3 linked regions of the Saccharomyces cerevisiae S288C genome follow. The gene in region 1 interacts genetically with each later gene. Each region holds a gene or a part of one and is shown on either strand. Other genes may lie near its edges.

Evidence for each region.
Region 2: mutations in UTR2 (region 1) and RDS1 together harm fitness more than expected from each alone (negative genetic interaction), as found in Saccharomyces cerevisiae (2 studies listed by BioGRID).
Region 3: mutations in UTR2 (region 1) and TRM3 together harm fitness more than expected from each alone (negative genetic interaction), as found in Saccharomyces cerevisiae (2 studies listed by BioGRID).

What each region holds. Positions count from the first base shown.
Region 1 is NC_001137.3:76,244-80,056, reverse strand, and holds UTR2 (chitin transglycosylase UTR2), read right to left. Parts: upstream 2,005-3,813; coding exon 601-2,004; downstream 1-600. Other genes in the region: CYC7 (cytochrome c), read left to right, coding at 80-421; YEF1 (NADH/NAD(+) kinase), read right to left, coding at 2,626-3,813. UniProt on the Saccharomyces cerevisiae protein: Dual chitinase/transglycosylase that plays a role in cell wall architecture. Chitinase and transglycosylase activities are coupled. Required for the polysaccharide cross-linking at the septa and the cell wall.
Region 2 is NC_001135.5:309,269-313,956, forward strand, and holds RDS1 (Rds1p), read left to right. Parts: upstream 1-1,689; coding exon 1,690-4,188; downstream 4,189-4,688. Other genes in the region: ADH7 (NADP-dependent alcohol dehydrogenase), read left to right, coding at 1-887; AAD3 (putative aryl-alcohol dehydrogenase), read left to right, coding at 4,622-4,688. UniProt on the Saccharomyces cerevisiae protein: Zinc cluster transcription factor involved in resistance to cycloheximide.
Region 3 is NC_001136.10:256,937-263,725, forward strand, and holds TRM3 (tRNA (guanosine(18)-2'-O)-methyltransferase), read left to right. Parts: upstream 1-1,978; coding exon 1,979-6,289; downstream 6,290-6,789. Other genes in the region: ATG20 (Atg20p), read right to left, coding at 1-1,619; exosome non-catalytic core subunit RRP42, read right to left, coding at 6,377-6,789. UniProt on the Saccharomyces cerevisiae protein: S-adenosyl-L-methionine-dependent 2'-O-ribose methyltransferase that catalyzes the formation of 2'-O-methylguanosine at position 18 (Gm18) in various tRNAs.

The DNA.
Region 1 (3,813 bases):
ACAAGAAGATCACATACAAGCATTTATTCACATTACTTTAAGTAAACTTCAGTAAACTACATTACATCATAAACAAAACATGGCTAAAGAAAGTACGGGATTCAAACCAGGCTCTGCAAAAAAGGGTGCTACATTGTTTAAAACGAGGTGTCAGCAGTGTCATACAATAGAAGAGGGTGGTCCTAACAAAGTTGGACCTAATTTACATGGTATTTTTGGTAGACATTCAGGTCAGGTAAAGGGTTATTCTTACACAGATGCAAACATCAACAAGAACGTCAAATGGGATGAGGATAGTATGTCCGAGTACTTGACGAACCCAAAGAAATATATTCCTGGTACCAAGATGGCGTTTGCCGGGTTGAAGAAGGAAAAGGACAGAAACGATTTAATTACTTATATGACAAAGGCTGCCAAATAGGCTATGTCGTCGGAGGAGATATTTATTACTTTTATTATTCTAGTTTTTTACAGTTATTTATTAATTAATTATTTTTATATGCATGCGAATAAAAAGTCTATATTTAAGTTCTTTTATTTATTAATACATTTTTTTTTGAGAGTCCTGTGTAGCCTATTTGTTCTTAGATGCAGATCCTCCTATAAGACATAACCTAGGATGACACATAAAACAGTCAAACGCCAGTTTGCCGCTACGTTGGCACCTGCGTTATTACCGCTCATTGAGCTTGTACTGCTGGAGGCGCTTCCGCTTACAGAAGATGTTGTTTGAGTTTGGGAAGTGACGGAAGAGGATACGGAGGATACGACTTTATCTCCGTTCTTAGTAGCAGTAGAGGAAGAAGAAGAAGAAGAAGAAGATGATGATGATGATGATGAAGCGGTGGAACTAGTCTTACTACTCTTCTTAGTTGAACTGCTGTGATCGGATGACGTTTTGGAGGAAGAGGTTGCAGTTGAGGAAGAACTCTTTTGGGTGGAAGATGTGGTAGCTCCCTTATGTGGGTCCAAGCCAGATCCCTCATCACTGTCCATCATGACCTCATCATCGGTAATAGCAATGTCTTTGGCCAAAAATTCACTGGACGAAGTATACACATAAGCAGAAGTACCATTCTTCTTGGTATCGCTTGGTGGATCATAACATGTGATATTAACTTCATTGACAATAGCATAATAATATCCTGGGTTGCTGATATCGGATGCGTCCCAATTAATTTCACCACCAGACCATGCAATGGTTCCTGGAGCGTTGGTAGAATTACCACCTGGCCAAATGGAAATATCCACCTTGGATGGGGTTTGTGGGTATTGATATTTTTGGGTGGTGGCGTTATAAGTTTCGTTCTTGTACAAGGTTCTACCGACGACACCATCGATGGACCATGTTACATAATCTTCGTGCCAATCTAATTCGTAAGTATGGTAGTTTTCAAATGTATCAGTAGTGGAAATATTGGCAGAATTCGTGTAGTTCAAAACACTTTCCCAATAGAAATTGGTTTGAGCAGTTTCTAGATCAGCACCGACGAATTCGTAATCAAGTTCATCACCTGCGCCGGAATACAGAATGAACCCAGTGACCACACCAGCAAGATGTGACGTCTTTATTCTAGCACTGACCTTACCATACCAAACAGCCCTCGTGGAGGAAAGAACGGTACCACCACTGTTCTTGGGCATCGCCAAAATTAAACTTTCTTCATCATCATAATCCAAAACGTCACCAGTATACAACCAATCAGCCTCACTAACATTTCCTAAGAAAGTGTTAGCATTCCCCAACTTAGAGGAATAATCTTTGAATTTAGTGGATGAACTCTTGCAGATAGGTACAGGCATACATGAATCATGACTAAACGAATATCTTACATCACAGTTGTTCAGACAATATTGACCAGTACCACATTCACCATATTGTGAGCAACATGGTTTATCTTCGGGACATGCTTGAGTTGCATTGCAAAATGTAGCGGCCTCTACACGTACCACGAAGGAAAAAATACTGACTAAACAAATTAGCCAACTATTAACGATTGCCATTATTAATTATATAATTAGCTTATTTGCAGGACAATAAATAGAAGTTTTACAAAGGGAACAGGGTCCAACAGAAACCATAATCACCAGGAATGTTGTTCTTTTTATACCTCAGGCATGTTTTAAAAGCCTCTTCTGCAGTTTTAATTTGGAAACTATCCACCTTGAAGATTCCCACTAAATCTTCGAAGGACGACGATTTTCTTCGAGGTTGAAAAAAGTTTTTCAAGAATTTTCGCGCTTCTTCCTAATCGGGAATTTATCTGTCATAATTATAATTCCCTATTTGGGAATTGGAACGAAATATATGCTACTATTTTAAAAATTATTCTGCACCATTCCGGAAATAACCTTCCGGTGACTGCAAGTTAGGCAACCTTATCATATGGTTAACTAGCATAATTACAAACGCGCATGAGGAAATTTAGCGAAACTACCTGCCAAATGCGGCGCTCTGGTTCAACTGTTTCATTTCTCCATTTTGTATAGCTCTACTGGATCTTCTTCGACACTGCAAACGACGCAAGAGCATTCTTGAAGTAAAAGAGGTAAATACAAAGCTGTTTACAGGCTCATCATCCATTATGAACCCTTGACTACGGAAACGCAGGATGTGGGAAATCGTTAGATTGCAAAATGAGCCTGACGAGTCCGTTCAACAACTATTTCTGTTTCTGTTTCCGTTACGGATTTCCTCTCCTCATCTTGTGCATCTGAGCTTATGCATGAACTCTCGAGGGGATTACTTATGGTGTCGTTTCCATTTTTCGATGAGTCTAATCTATATTTTTCTTGATTTTTTGGCGAGAGAATATGTGCAAATGGCTTCTGCTCTTCGCGGTCATTCCAATTAAGATTTTTACTGATACTTTCAAAAAATTCACTGGCAGATGACTCGATAGTCGGTACCGAATAGGGGCTTGCAGTTATCACAACATAGTCACCCTGTTTCAATTCAACTCTATCTTTTCCGTCAAAATTCACCCACGACGTCCCTCTTGAGTTCATATCTACTCTAACTTTTAATTCCATGCTATCTGGTAAAATTATAGGCCTAAAGCTCAAAGTATGAGGACATATAGGCGTCACCGCTATGGCATTTACGCTTGGCGATATTAAAGAGCCTCCTGCACTCAATGAGTATGCCGTGGATCCCGTAGGCGTGGCAACAATCAATCCATCTCCCTGAACCTTAGTCATTAGTGAGTCGTTTCCATAGAGTTCTAATAGGGATAAACAAGGAGCTGGACCTCTATCTATGGTTACTTCGTTCAATACGTGATGTTCGGAGATGAAATCGATGTAACATATTTTTCTCCCAGTTGCGGCATCAATTTCTGGTTTATTTCTACGGTAGAGTTTGCATTGCAACCTCATTCGTAAATTAATACGAACCTCATCTGTTAAGATATGTTTCAACGTTTCTTTGAAATTTTGAAATTCAAAATTTGTTAGAAATCCTAATGATCCAAGGGCAAATGGAACAATCGGCGGAACATCTTTCGTGAATATAGATGAAGCAAAAAGGACAGTTCCATCACCCCCTAGTGTAATCATCAAGTCAAAGAATGAATCGTGTTTTTTAACAAATTCTTTTGACCAATACTTTACTCTGTTTTTACTGCAATTGCTGTCTTTGCAGAGGTCACCAACAGCAAACTGAGTTGACTTTTTAAAAATATCTTGTACATATACAGTTATTGAATGGAAATTGCGTAAGATCCATTCCACCACTTCTCTCATGAGAAATACAGTGGAAATATCATTAATATTGCAGATTATTATCAGGTTTTCAACCTGCAAGTCAACCTT
Region 2 (4,688 bases), on another chromosome or scaffold:
GACATGAAATAATTGGCCGCGTGGTGAAGGTTGGATCCAAGTGCCACACTGGGGTAAAAATCGGTGACCGTGTTGGTGTTGGTGCCCAAGCCTTGGCGTGTTTTGAGTGTGAACGTTGCAAAAGTGACAACGAGCAATACTGTACCAATGACCACGTTTTGACTATGTGGACTCCTTACAAGGACGGCTACATTTCACAAGGAGGCTTTGCCTCCCACGTGAGGCTTCATGAACACTTTGCTATTCAAATACCAGAAAATATTCCAAGTCCGCTAGCCGCTCCATTATTGTGTGGTGGTATTACAGTTTTCTCTCCACTACTAAGAAATGGCTGTGGTCCAGGTAAGAGGGTAGGTATTGTTGGCATCGGTGGTATTGGGCATATGGGGATTCTGTTGGCTAAAGCTATGGGAGCCGAGGTTTATGCGTTTTCGCGAGGCCACTCCAAGCGGGAGGATTCTATGAAACTCGGTGCTGATCACTATATTGCTATGTTGGAGGATAAAGGCTGGACAGAACAATACTCTAACGCTTTGGACCTTCTTGTCGTTTGCTCATCATCTTTGTCGAAAGTTAATTTTGACAGTATCGTTAAGATTATGAAGATTGGAGGCTCCATCGTTTCAATTGCTGCTCCTGAAGTTAATGAAAAGCTTGTTTTAAAACCGTTGGGCCTAATGGGAGTATCAATCTCAAGCAGTGCTATCGGATCTAGGAAGGAAATCGAACAACTATTGAAATTAGTTTCCGAAAAGAATGTCAAAATATGGGTGGAAAAACTTCCGATCAGCGAAGAAGGCGTCAGCCATGCCTTTACAAGGATGGAAAGCGGAGACGTCAAATACAGATTTACTTTGGTCGATTATGATAAGAAATTCCATAAATAGTCTATATACGTAATATTTTTCAGAATCTCTTAAAATGCATGTCAAATCTCGGAATTTATCATGACCCATTACATAACAAGAGAAAAGTGGTTTGCATTGTATGTATACCTTAAACCAATTCTTCGGTAGTCACATGACCTATATATAGGGACATTCATTTCTTGAATAGGATATTTCTTAAACTTAAGGGAAATTTTGATGAAAATTTAGAATCTCTCGACAACAGTGCAGAGCAGTAAGTTTTATTCAATACGAAATGTGTGCAGGGTTTTACCCATTCATGTCGAGTACGTCTACATTTGTTCTGCGATTTAACTTAATACTTAGCCTACTCATATGTATCGAAGCCAAACTATTAAATCTGAAAACTGAATACCCATTAAGTAGGTACATTAATGCAATTTTCGTCCGAAAGGTAGAGTGTTAATCATGCTTTTACTTCGAAATCTAGAGTCCGAGCATGTCTGATGAGGTCCTCTTAAAGCACTTCAATTTTAAAAGAGAAGAGCGCAAATTTTTACAAAGAATGCCTATATTAATATACTGTGCTATCTAAGAGGATGGTTCAATGGTTTGAAATGAGTTGAAAAATAAAGATTTACATAGTAGCGTGTATTCTTCACATTTTTGCATTCGGTAGATTTTCTACTCAAGACCCGTGCAGATCACTATTACACTCATTATTACAAGTCATTGAGAACGAAATTTTGACATCATTACTAATAATGTTACTCATTAATACTTTATTAATGTAAGCGGTAGATAAACAAATGAACATGAAATTGGCTGCTGAAATGCTCTGATGGATTCGATTACAGTAAAAAAACCTCGGTTAAGATTGGTTTGCCTGCAATGCAAAAAGATCAAACGGAAATGTGATAAACTGCGGCCTGCTTGCTCGCGATGCCAACAAAATTCATTACAGTGTGAATATGAAGAGAGAACAGATTTATCTGCCAATGTTGCAGCAAACGACTCTGATGGATTCAATTCCTCTCATAAGCTCAATTTCGAACAGCAACCTGTACTTGAAAGGACTGGGCTTAGATATTCCTTACAAGTGCCTGAAGGTGTCGTTAATGCTACGCTGTCGATATGGAACGCCGAAGATATGCTAGTTATAGTAGGATTAGTTACATTTCTGGATTATCCTTTTGCTGCGCATAGTCTGGCGCAACATGACCAGTATATCAGGGCACTTTGTGCTTCGTTGTACGGCATGGCGCTTGTTGACTTTAGCAATTATGCTAATGGTATTCCTTGTGAAGACACATCAAGAAGTATACTAGGACCATTGTCATTCATAGAAAAGGCCATTTTTAGACGGATAGAACATAGTAAGCAATTTCGAGTTCAGTCTGCCGCCTTAGGGTTATTATACAATGCATTTTCAATGGAAGAAGAAAACTTCTCGACTCTTCTACCGTCACTCATCGCTGAAGTGGAAGACGTGTTGATGCAAAAAAAAGACTGTGAAATACTTTTGAGGTGTTTCTATCAAAATATTTATCCCTTCTATCCTTTTATGGACATTTCACTCTTTGAGAGCGATCTCACTAGTTTGCTTTTACAAGACGACAATAATCGTTGGAAAATTAGTACTGAAGTTAAAAATGTGCGCAAAAAAATAGAAACTTTGTCATTACTTACAATAGTAATGGCCATGGCCTTGATGCATTCAAAATTGGATGCAAATCTTCTTTCAATGGTAAAAGAAAATGCCTCCGAAAGTGCCAGGAAACTTTCTCTTTTATGTCATAAACTATTATGCCTCCTGGATGTATTTCGCTATCCAAATGAGAACACTTTTACTTGCCTTTTATATTTCTACGTTTCAGAGCATTTAGATCCCGAGAGTCCCGATTGTGTACTGAGCCCCACTAACTTGCTTACTCTGCACCATCTTTTAAATTTGTCCATGACCTTAGGTCTTCAATATGAGCCTTCGAAGTACAAACGTTTCAAAGATCCAGAAGTGATAAGGCAGAGACGGATATTATGGTTAGGAGTTCAGTCATTACTTTTTCAAATTTCTCTTGCTGAAGGTGATGCTGGTAAATCAAATAGTGAATATATGGAGGCATATTTAACAGACTTCGAAGAATATATTGAAGCTTCCTCAGAGTATGAAAAAAGTTCTGCGAGTGAATCGAACGTGCAAATGAATGATATTGTTTGGAATAAGTACAAATTTCACGTCATTTTGAGTAAACTAATGTCTGATTGCACTTCAGTTATACAACATCCGCAGCTTTTCCACATTTTAGGAAATATTAAAAGATCTGAAGATTTTATGGCTGAGAACTTTCCTACAAGTTCGATTTACCAACCCCTTCATGAAAAGGAACCAAATGCGATCAAAGTTGGCAAAAGTACGGTTCTCGATGTCATGGATATTCAAAAAACTGAAATATTTCTTACAAATATTGTGGGAAGTATGTGTTTTTTAAACATTTTTGATGTCCTATCGTTACATTTTGAAAAAAAATGTGTTATGCACTGGGAAGAATATGAAAAGAACTATCATTTCCTTACTTTGAAAAGTTTCAATGCATACTTAAAGCTAGCAGGGTTGATATCTGATTATCTCGAGAATAAGTTTCAAGGGAACATTTTAGAGAGTCGCGGTTATATCATAGATAAACAAATATGTTTTATGCTTGTAAGGATCTGGATGTTCCAATGTCGTATTTTGTTAAGGTTTTCATACAAGCAAGAAAGTCAGAAAAAATTGGCCTCTTCCAGTATATCCACTAACGATAATGAAAAAGAAGATGAAATGATTGTCATTTTAGAAAGACTTATTAAACACATTCGTAACCAAATGGCACATTTAGTGGATCTAGCAAAGGGAAAACTTCAAGATAGTTACTTTGGTGCTTACCAAACTGTTCCCATGTTTAGATACGTTGTGTATTTGATCGATGTTGGCGGCTTAGTATCTGTGACAAATGGGTTTTGGGATAAGATTTCCAGTGATGGTGAAATACCGCCAAAAGTACAACAAGCCGTGAGATTGAAATGGGGATTGGACTGCAATAATTCGAGAAGAATCAAACAAAAGTTAATAAGCAGCCAGAGTTTGCAGAGTTTCAATCAAGTTCTGTTGTGCCAGATGGAGGATGCAGTTCTCTCCAGTTCCTTCGCAATAAAAGCCAATACCGCTATGTCCCAAAACACGGCTGAAGAATTTTTCAATATCAGCGAAGAAGAGGCTTTAAATCAACTATTGGAAAACAACAATTTTGATGCCTTCTGGGATTTATTAGGTGAAAATCTGAGCGATATGCCTTCTTTGTGAGAATACGGATATTTGGAAAGGCTAAAAAAAAAAAAACAAGCCAAAAACAAGAAACACTGTTATCCTCCACGTTTTTTCCACTGTTTTAAGACTCGACAAGACGGAAAGATTCCTCACATTTCGCAGTGTTTCTTTTAACCTGCTCGTCAATTTGAAAAAATGAGCATGGTTAGGCAGGCGGAATGTAATAGGTGCGGTGCGTATAAATAAGTATCTCGGCCGTTCCTCTATTGCGCTCGGCCGAGATGTCCTACATGCATAAAATAGATTAAAAAAAGGGATCACGATACTCAAATATGCATATAATAACAACAACACACTTTGCGGTAAATAGAAGGATAATATCGTAATCTTTTGCTGGTTTCGATGATGACTTGAAAAAATTCAATTACTCTTTCGATCATCTAGAAGAAGCATATCCATCGTGCTTAAAATGATTGGGTCCGCGTCCGACTCATCTAGCAAGTTAGGACGCCTCCGATTTCTTTCTGAAACTGCCG
Region 3 (6,789 bases), on another chromosome or scaffold:
TTGAATAGTTTGCCACCATATGATTTCCCACCGCTACCTGTATTATTATTAGGGCGTTCCAGATTAATAGTATGACTTTTAGACATTTCGTTGTCAATTATTTTGTCAACATCCTTATATTCATTGTTTTGCGCTTCCAGCTTCTCCAACTGTGCTCTTTTGGAATTCAGAGACTTTTTAATCATTTCATTTTGCAGGTATTTCAATTTTCTGTATTTGATCAATTCTCTTGCAGAAGTTGCCATATGAACAGATTCATTTAAAGGCTCATTTATATTGTAGTATAGTCTTCCAACTAATTTTTCTAAAGAAATCGAGGACCCCGAAAAGGCATTGCTTAAGTAAGAAAGCTGTTCGGCCAATTCCCCAACTTGAGCCTGTTCATGGGCAAACTGTGCAAATACCTCACCGATTTCATTGTAATCCGATTTCAAATCGTGATAAGTCTTCGTGGTTCGTCTATTATACTTATAAATCCCGTTATCTAACAAGTTCTCATATTGCTTGTAATCCTGTTCAATATTAGTAAACGACTTACTTCTTTCCTTATCCATTTTTTTGTCGTTGGACTCCTTATTCAACAATAACTGTGACGAGGAGCCCGGTATTGGTAACATGGCATGAATTCTAGTGGTGTTAGTGGGATCTAGTGGATTACACTGGAGGATGCTCTTCGGTAAAGATGAAAAAGTGGACGAACTGTTAACAAATTCATGCCAATTATGGTTATTAGGATCCAAAAAATCGGTAATTATAGATGTTTTTGTGATTTCTTCGTTCGTCAAAAGTTTGTTCAAGAACTCAGTGAGCATTCTTATCCTATGCCGTATTAACTTTTCATCACTATTATTGACCGACGCATGTATCACAGACAATGATAGATCTACTGAACCAGAACCTTCTGAGGGCAGCAAATACTTTGAACTCGAACCAGTTATTGACTTACCATAATTCTTTATTGACTGCTTTTCTGGAATCGGCGGTATCAACGTCATAGGAAACAATCTTATCAAGATACTTCTCAAACTCTCGAAATCGCTGTAACGTCTCTGAACGGTAGAATTTTCAAACTGAATAACATAGGCGATGTAGGCTCTTCCTTGACCTTCGGAAACTCTTTTCGCTTCAAGTATGTGTATCCTAGCGGACTTCTTTCTATTACTTACAGAAGGTTCTTCTGACGCAGAGGTCTCTCCGTTCATGGAGTTAATACTTCCACTAAGACTTGTTCTACATGTTTCTGCATTCGATTCTTGGTTTAAAGGCAATAATCCCTCAGAGTCATCCTCGTAATCTTCATTCGGGTTCTTTAGGTTATGGCTTCTCATACCGGGTATTTCTAATAAAGCTGATTTTGTGAATCCTGTTGGCCCCTCCTCCATGAATGGGTTGTCTTTTTCTAACAGGGCTGTGTGTACTAACTCAGTTTCTACTTTGTTATTGTCCCCCTTTCCAACCTTACCCTTTTTTGGGCTCTTTTTTGGCGATCCAACTCCATTCTTAGAAATTTCTGCCTCTGCCACATACTCAGTTGTCCCATGAGGTGGTTCAGCCTTTCCTGTATTCCGAGTTTCCGAATTCAATTTAGCATTTTCTTGGACATCATTTAAGTCTGACATTGTGTGCTGTAGAAGACAACTTTTCTAGATGGTATGTTCAATTGCACCACCAGTATTCGAGCTAGTCATCTCTTCATTTTGGAGATGACTTGCTGTAAATCGATAAATATTGGCTTACTCAATAGCCATATCTTAAAGGGGGCACAATGGGTGAGTTGTCGGGTAAGGGAATGTAGATCACGTGAATGAAAATTCAAGTGTTTTTCGAAAAGTTTCACCATGGCGATGAGCAAGATTGAAACAGCACTATTGTAACTATATAATTGCTAGTAAGCAAATAAGCCAAGCCTTATTAAAATCCGGTGAAAAGAATTGTTTAACGAACGTTACAAACTCTATACCTTTTTTTTACCAGCAAAATGGTTGGAGGTGCTCTCATCTGCAAATATTTACCACGCGAAGAGCAACTAAAGCTTATATCAGACTTGATTCAGAATGACAGCTTAGAAGAGGTGCTGGAGTTGATTGAAACTTCGCCACTGGATATAACGACGGACAGCAACATTGAAACACCAATCTTTGAAAAAATTACTGAGCAGGTCATTGCGTATGCTAGTATAGACGGTGAAGCCAGGGAAATGTTTCGCTCTTCGAGGGCTGAAATGAACAAGGCGCTAAGAACTTCTGCACAATTACTATGTTGTTTACCCAGTGTATGGCATAAATTTCAGGTGTGGATGAGCTACCGGTTAAATGACATCATTAGCGAAAACTATAAACATCTCTTCAATGACAACTTTGGAAAAAAGATTGTACAACCATTTTTCGATTCTTTTGCTGAGGAACAAAACGCTAATATCAAGCATGAAAATCTGCACTTAGATATCCTTAGCCTGCTTCACTACTTAGAAGTTGTATATTTATTTGACGAATGTAAGAATGGTATATCGTCCAAATGCCTAGATTTTATCATTGTTCCATTGTTAGGCTGTAATTCGGAAGAGATTGCTGATTCCTGCTCCAAGTTAATGAGATGGCATATCAAATATTTATCGAAATGCTGCAATACCGATAGTAACTTTGATAAGCTCATTTGGACATTTATCAAACAATTGTACGCTGAAGGCTCCCAACAAGCTTGGAAGCAAAAGAACAGTTTATCTTTTCTCCTAAGATTCCTTTTAGCAGCAGAGTTGTCTCCTGAACTTATTACTTATATAAAGACCGATGCTTATTGGAGGCACATTCAAACAGAGCTGGATAATGATGTGCACGAACACAGAAAATTGGCACTCTCAATTCTTAAATTAACAATTCAAAAACTGTCATCTCATGGTATAACATTGCAAACAACATTTTATAAATGCAATGATCTAGCAAATATCGAGATGCTGGGTAGCTGGAAGAAATTCACCACCTTATATGAAATGATTGCTCTGGACACATCATTGAATCAAATACAAGCGGCCAAACAAGATATAATAAAAATTTTTGATAACGAGCATTTACACCATAGTTGGGGCCTTATCTTGCTTTCTACGGGATTGAAATCATCAATGGAGAGTGTCAGAAAATACATGATGACGTTAATGTTCTCGATTACAAATATGTCAGCATTCTCTTCAAACTTGCCATTATTGACAAAAACTCTTCTTCCAGCTGCAATGTCCGCTCATTATTTTGATGTAAAAGGTGTCAGTTGTCCCCATGGTGAAAAACTTTCATTATTTGTCAATAACTTACTTTCCCAAACAACAGAAGGCATATCAGATATATTATTTGAAATTTTGAAATTATTGGTGGAAAAAGGGACCTCTTTTGACCCTTCTAGGATATACTTGTCCTACGGTATCTTAGTTTTCTTCCAGAATAACAAACAGAAAACAATCAACTCTGACCATTTGAGTCTGATCAGGAAATTGTACGATTTTGCAGCCGAAGAAGAGGTTCTCGAAACTACAATCCAAACAATTTACTTGAAGTTCTTACTGTACATTGATCCATCTGTCTCCGCATCTGAATTATTGTTTACATTAGTTTCACACATTAAGTTAAAGGGAGGGACATACAAATATGTTGAGCCTCTTTTTGAAGATTATAGGGATCTTGCCGTTTCTCACTTTGACGATTTGCAAGCGAAAGAAAACTTGACGACAAACATCGGAAAGGATACTATTTTTGACCTCTTAGCATCTATCATCTTCGATTTCAAGGATATTGATATTACTCCCGATTTTTTAATTGAAGTTGCGAAGTCGAAGCAAGATATACCCGTTTACACTTCAAAGGCAGTTACTTTTCTAACTCAGCTACTTTCAGGCGAACCTTCGAACGGTTATACCTATGAAAATGCAACCGCTTTGTTGTCTTACCCAAATTTTACAATATCTACATGGAAATCCATCAATGTGAATAATTTATTTAAGTCGGTAATGGAAAAATTTTCGCTTGATAAATTCAAGTTCTTTGCTGAAATTTACCAGAAGACTTATGAATGTAGGTTCGATACAATCGAGCTAAATTTTAATGACCTTCTGAGCCTATATGAAATGGTTAAAAAGTCTGCCAATCAGTGTTCAAGAGAGAGCTTTAAAGTGAAGGACAGCGCTTATTCTTCTTACTTTGAACTTTTAAATACCTTCCTGAAAACATACGCCTTAAATCGTGACTCTTCTGAAGGAAATGATGATGAGCTTCACATACTACTACGCTTAGTTGACGAGAATATTAACAAAGATAATGGGAATTATCTGGGGAACCTGGCAGTCTGTAAATTATTGTACTTTATCATAGATTCCTACATCCATTGCTCCACATCTGTTTCTGATGATGATATTTTCATAGTGAAATTCATTTTTGAGAAATTTTCGTTTATATGGGAATGTATTAATAGTGAAAGATTAGTTTTGAAGGAAAGGGATCTGCATTTGATGCTAATTAAGGGATTATTTCATCCTGTGATCCTGTACTTTGGATCAAATCAGTATATCGATACTTTGACCTCGAAGTTGGAGGAACATGCACAAACGATTATATCATTGAGTTATTCCAGAAGAAGCCTACTCCCTCTTCTCGGATCACAACTCAGAGTATTTATGAAGTTTTATGGGAAATTGTTAAGAGAAGATGTCAACTATTGGTGGTTGATTAACATTATAGTAGGTGTTTTCAAACAGCCGCAAATGGATGTCAACCTTTACAAGCTCAAACCTGTTATTTCCAGCCTATTTGACCACAAACTGAACAATTATTACATAAAAGGCGATGAACTTTATGAAAAGGTGTACGGACCCGACGAAATATTGGCTAGAGTATCTATTATTGATTCTATTTTATATGCAAATGATCAGTTGAAAATTCGATTAATCGAAAAAGTTACTGAAAAAACAAACGCACTTTATGCTATAAAGAGAACCGACGGTGCCGAAGCGTTACAGAGGTTGTTGCAGTGGCAATTGTTATTATTATCACTACTAACCACCAATGAAAAAAAATTAAGCGAAACTAGCATGATCAGAATTCTAAAGAGTATCGAGGATGAAAGTTCACCACTAGTAAGAGTATATAAAGAATGGTTCATTTCCTCAAAGGTTGTTGATTATTATAAAACTGGCAATCCAAAATTTGCTGAGGATTATCTCTTCTCATTGCTGGAGGATCATAGCAAACCGGTGTTTGTAGTTAGCGCAGAAAAAATATGCTTTATGGTGTTGAAAGATTTAAGAAACGACGAAAAGAAATATGGATTTACACAGTTACTAGACAGATTCATTTGCACGTTAGTTCCTAACGCAGCTTCAAACAAACCTCTGGTAAGGCATTTTTCTAATTCTCTAATAATTTCATTATGGCCTACATTCAAAGCCTACCTATCGGATCACACACTGAGAAACATCATTGAGAACTTATATTCCAATGCCAAAAAGACTCAAATATTTGGTCAATATCGTGCCGGGGATGCCAACATATGGGATCTGAAGGGTGATAGGAAATTAACGAACATGTTTGGTGGTGTGCTCAAAAAAGTTACCGACCATGATTGCCCGTACATTTCTGAGTCTGTTTTCGAAAAATATTTGCAGGAGAAAGATATTGTTCCTATAGGTACCGATGAAAGGTCCTTATGGCTTGATAAAAGAGACACCAATACGGAATCTGTTAACAACGCGAACATCTCCTGTGACACTTCTCCACTGCAAACAAAAAGTGGAGCTTGGGAAACCGTTCTGGATCTGGACAATAAAAAATCGAATGATGTCGTTACACGTTCTGAATTGATTGTGGTATCTTCATTAGTTGATAAGCCGCCAAACCTGGGAGGTATTTGTAGGTTATGTGATGTTTTAGGTGTGGGACTGCTTACTGTACAAGACATCAAAGTCAAAAACCATCCTCAATTTAAAAATGTTGCTGTGACTGCTGATAGATGGATGCCCATGGAGGAAGTTGCCCTAGATGAGATTGCAAGTTTCATGAAAGAGAAAAAGAAGGAAGGGTACACATTAATTGGGCTAGAGCAAACGGATAAATCAGTGAAGCTAGACAACAATTTCCAATTCCCTAAAAAATCATTGATCTTGCTAGGAACCGAAGCATTCGGTATTCCGGGGACTTTGTTAAGCGAATTGGATTTATGTTTAGAGATTCAACAATTTGGTGTGATCAGATCAATGAATATTCAAACGGCAACCGCAGTTATCGTTCATTCCTATACAGTTCAACACATGTAAGAATCAGGTTTCATTCCCACTTTTGTTAACCATGAAGTTTTTAGTATGTAAACTAATTTGTCTTTTTATCTAATTGTGACTATATTTTTATAAATTCTCCAGTGATCGTACTACGTCGGGGGCGTATTTCTCCACCATTGCAAGACCTTGCTTCAACAAATGAGGTTTAAAGCTTTTAACGTTTGAATCATTCAATGCTACTGATCTGATAGGTGATGTAATCTTACCATTAGACCAGGAAATGATTAGGCCATTATTGGCCACTTCGCTTTCGTTGGCTGCAGGGTCCAATAGCATATTGTTGCCTACAACGGCCAATATAAACACTAAAGGCGGATTAATGTCAAGCTTAACCATGTCGTAATCATGAAACGTAGGAAGTTCTTCCACCTCTAAGTCGTCAAAAGCTGAAATAAGTTTCGGTAGGTATGTGGAGTTCAACGCTGAATAAATAGCAAAGGATATTAAAGAAACTGGGTGTGAATGTGATGAAATGACCA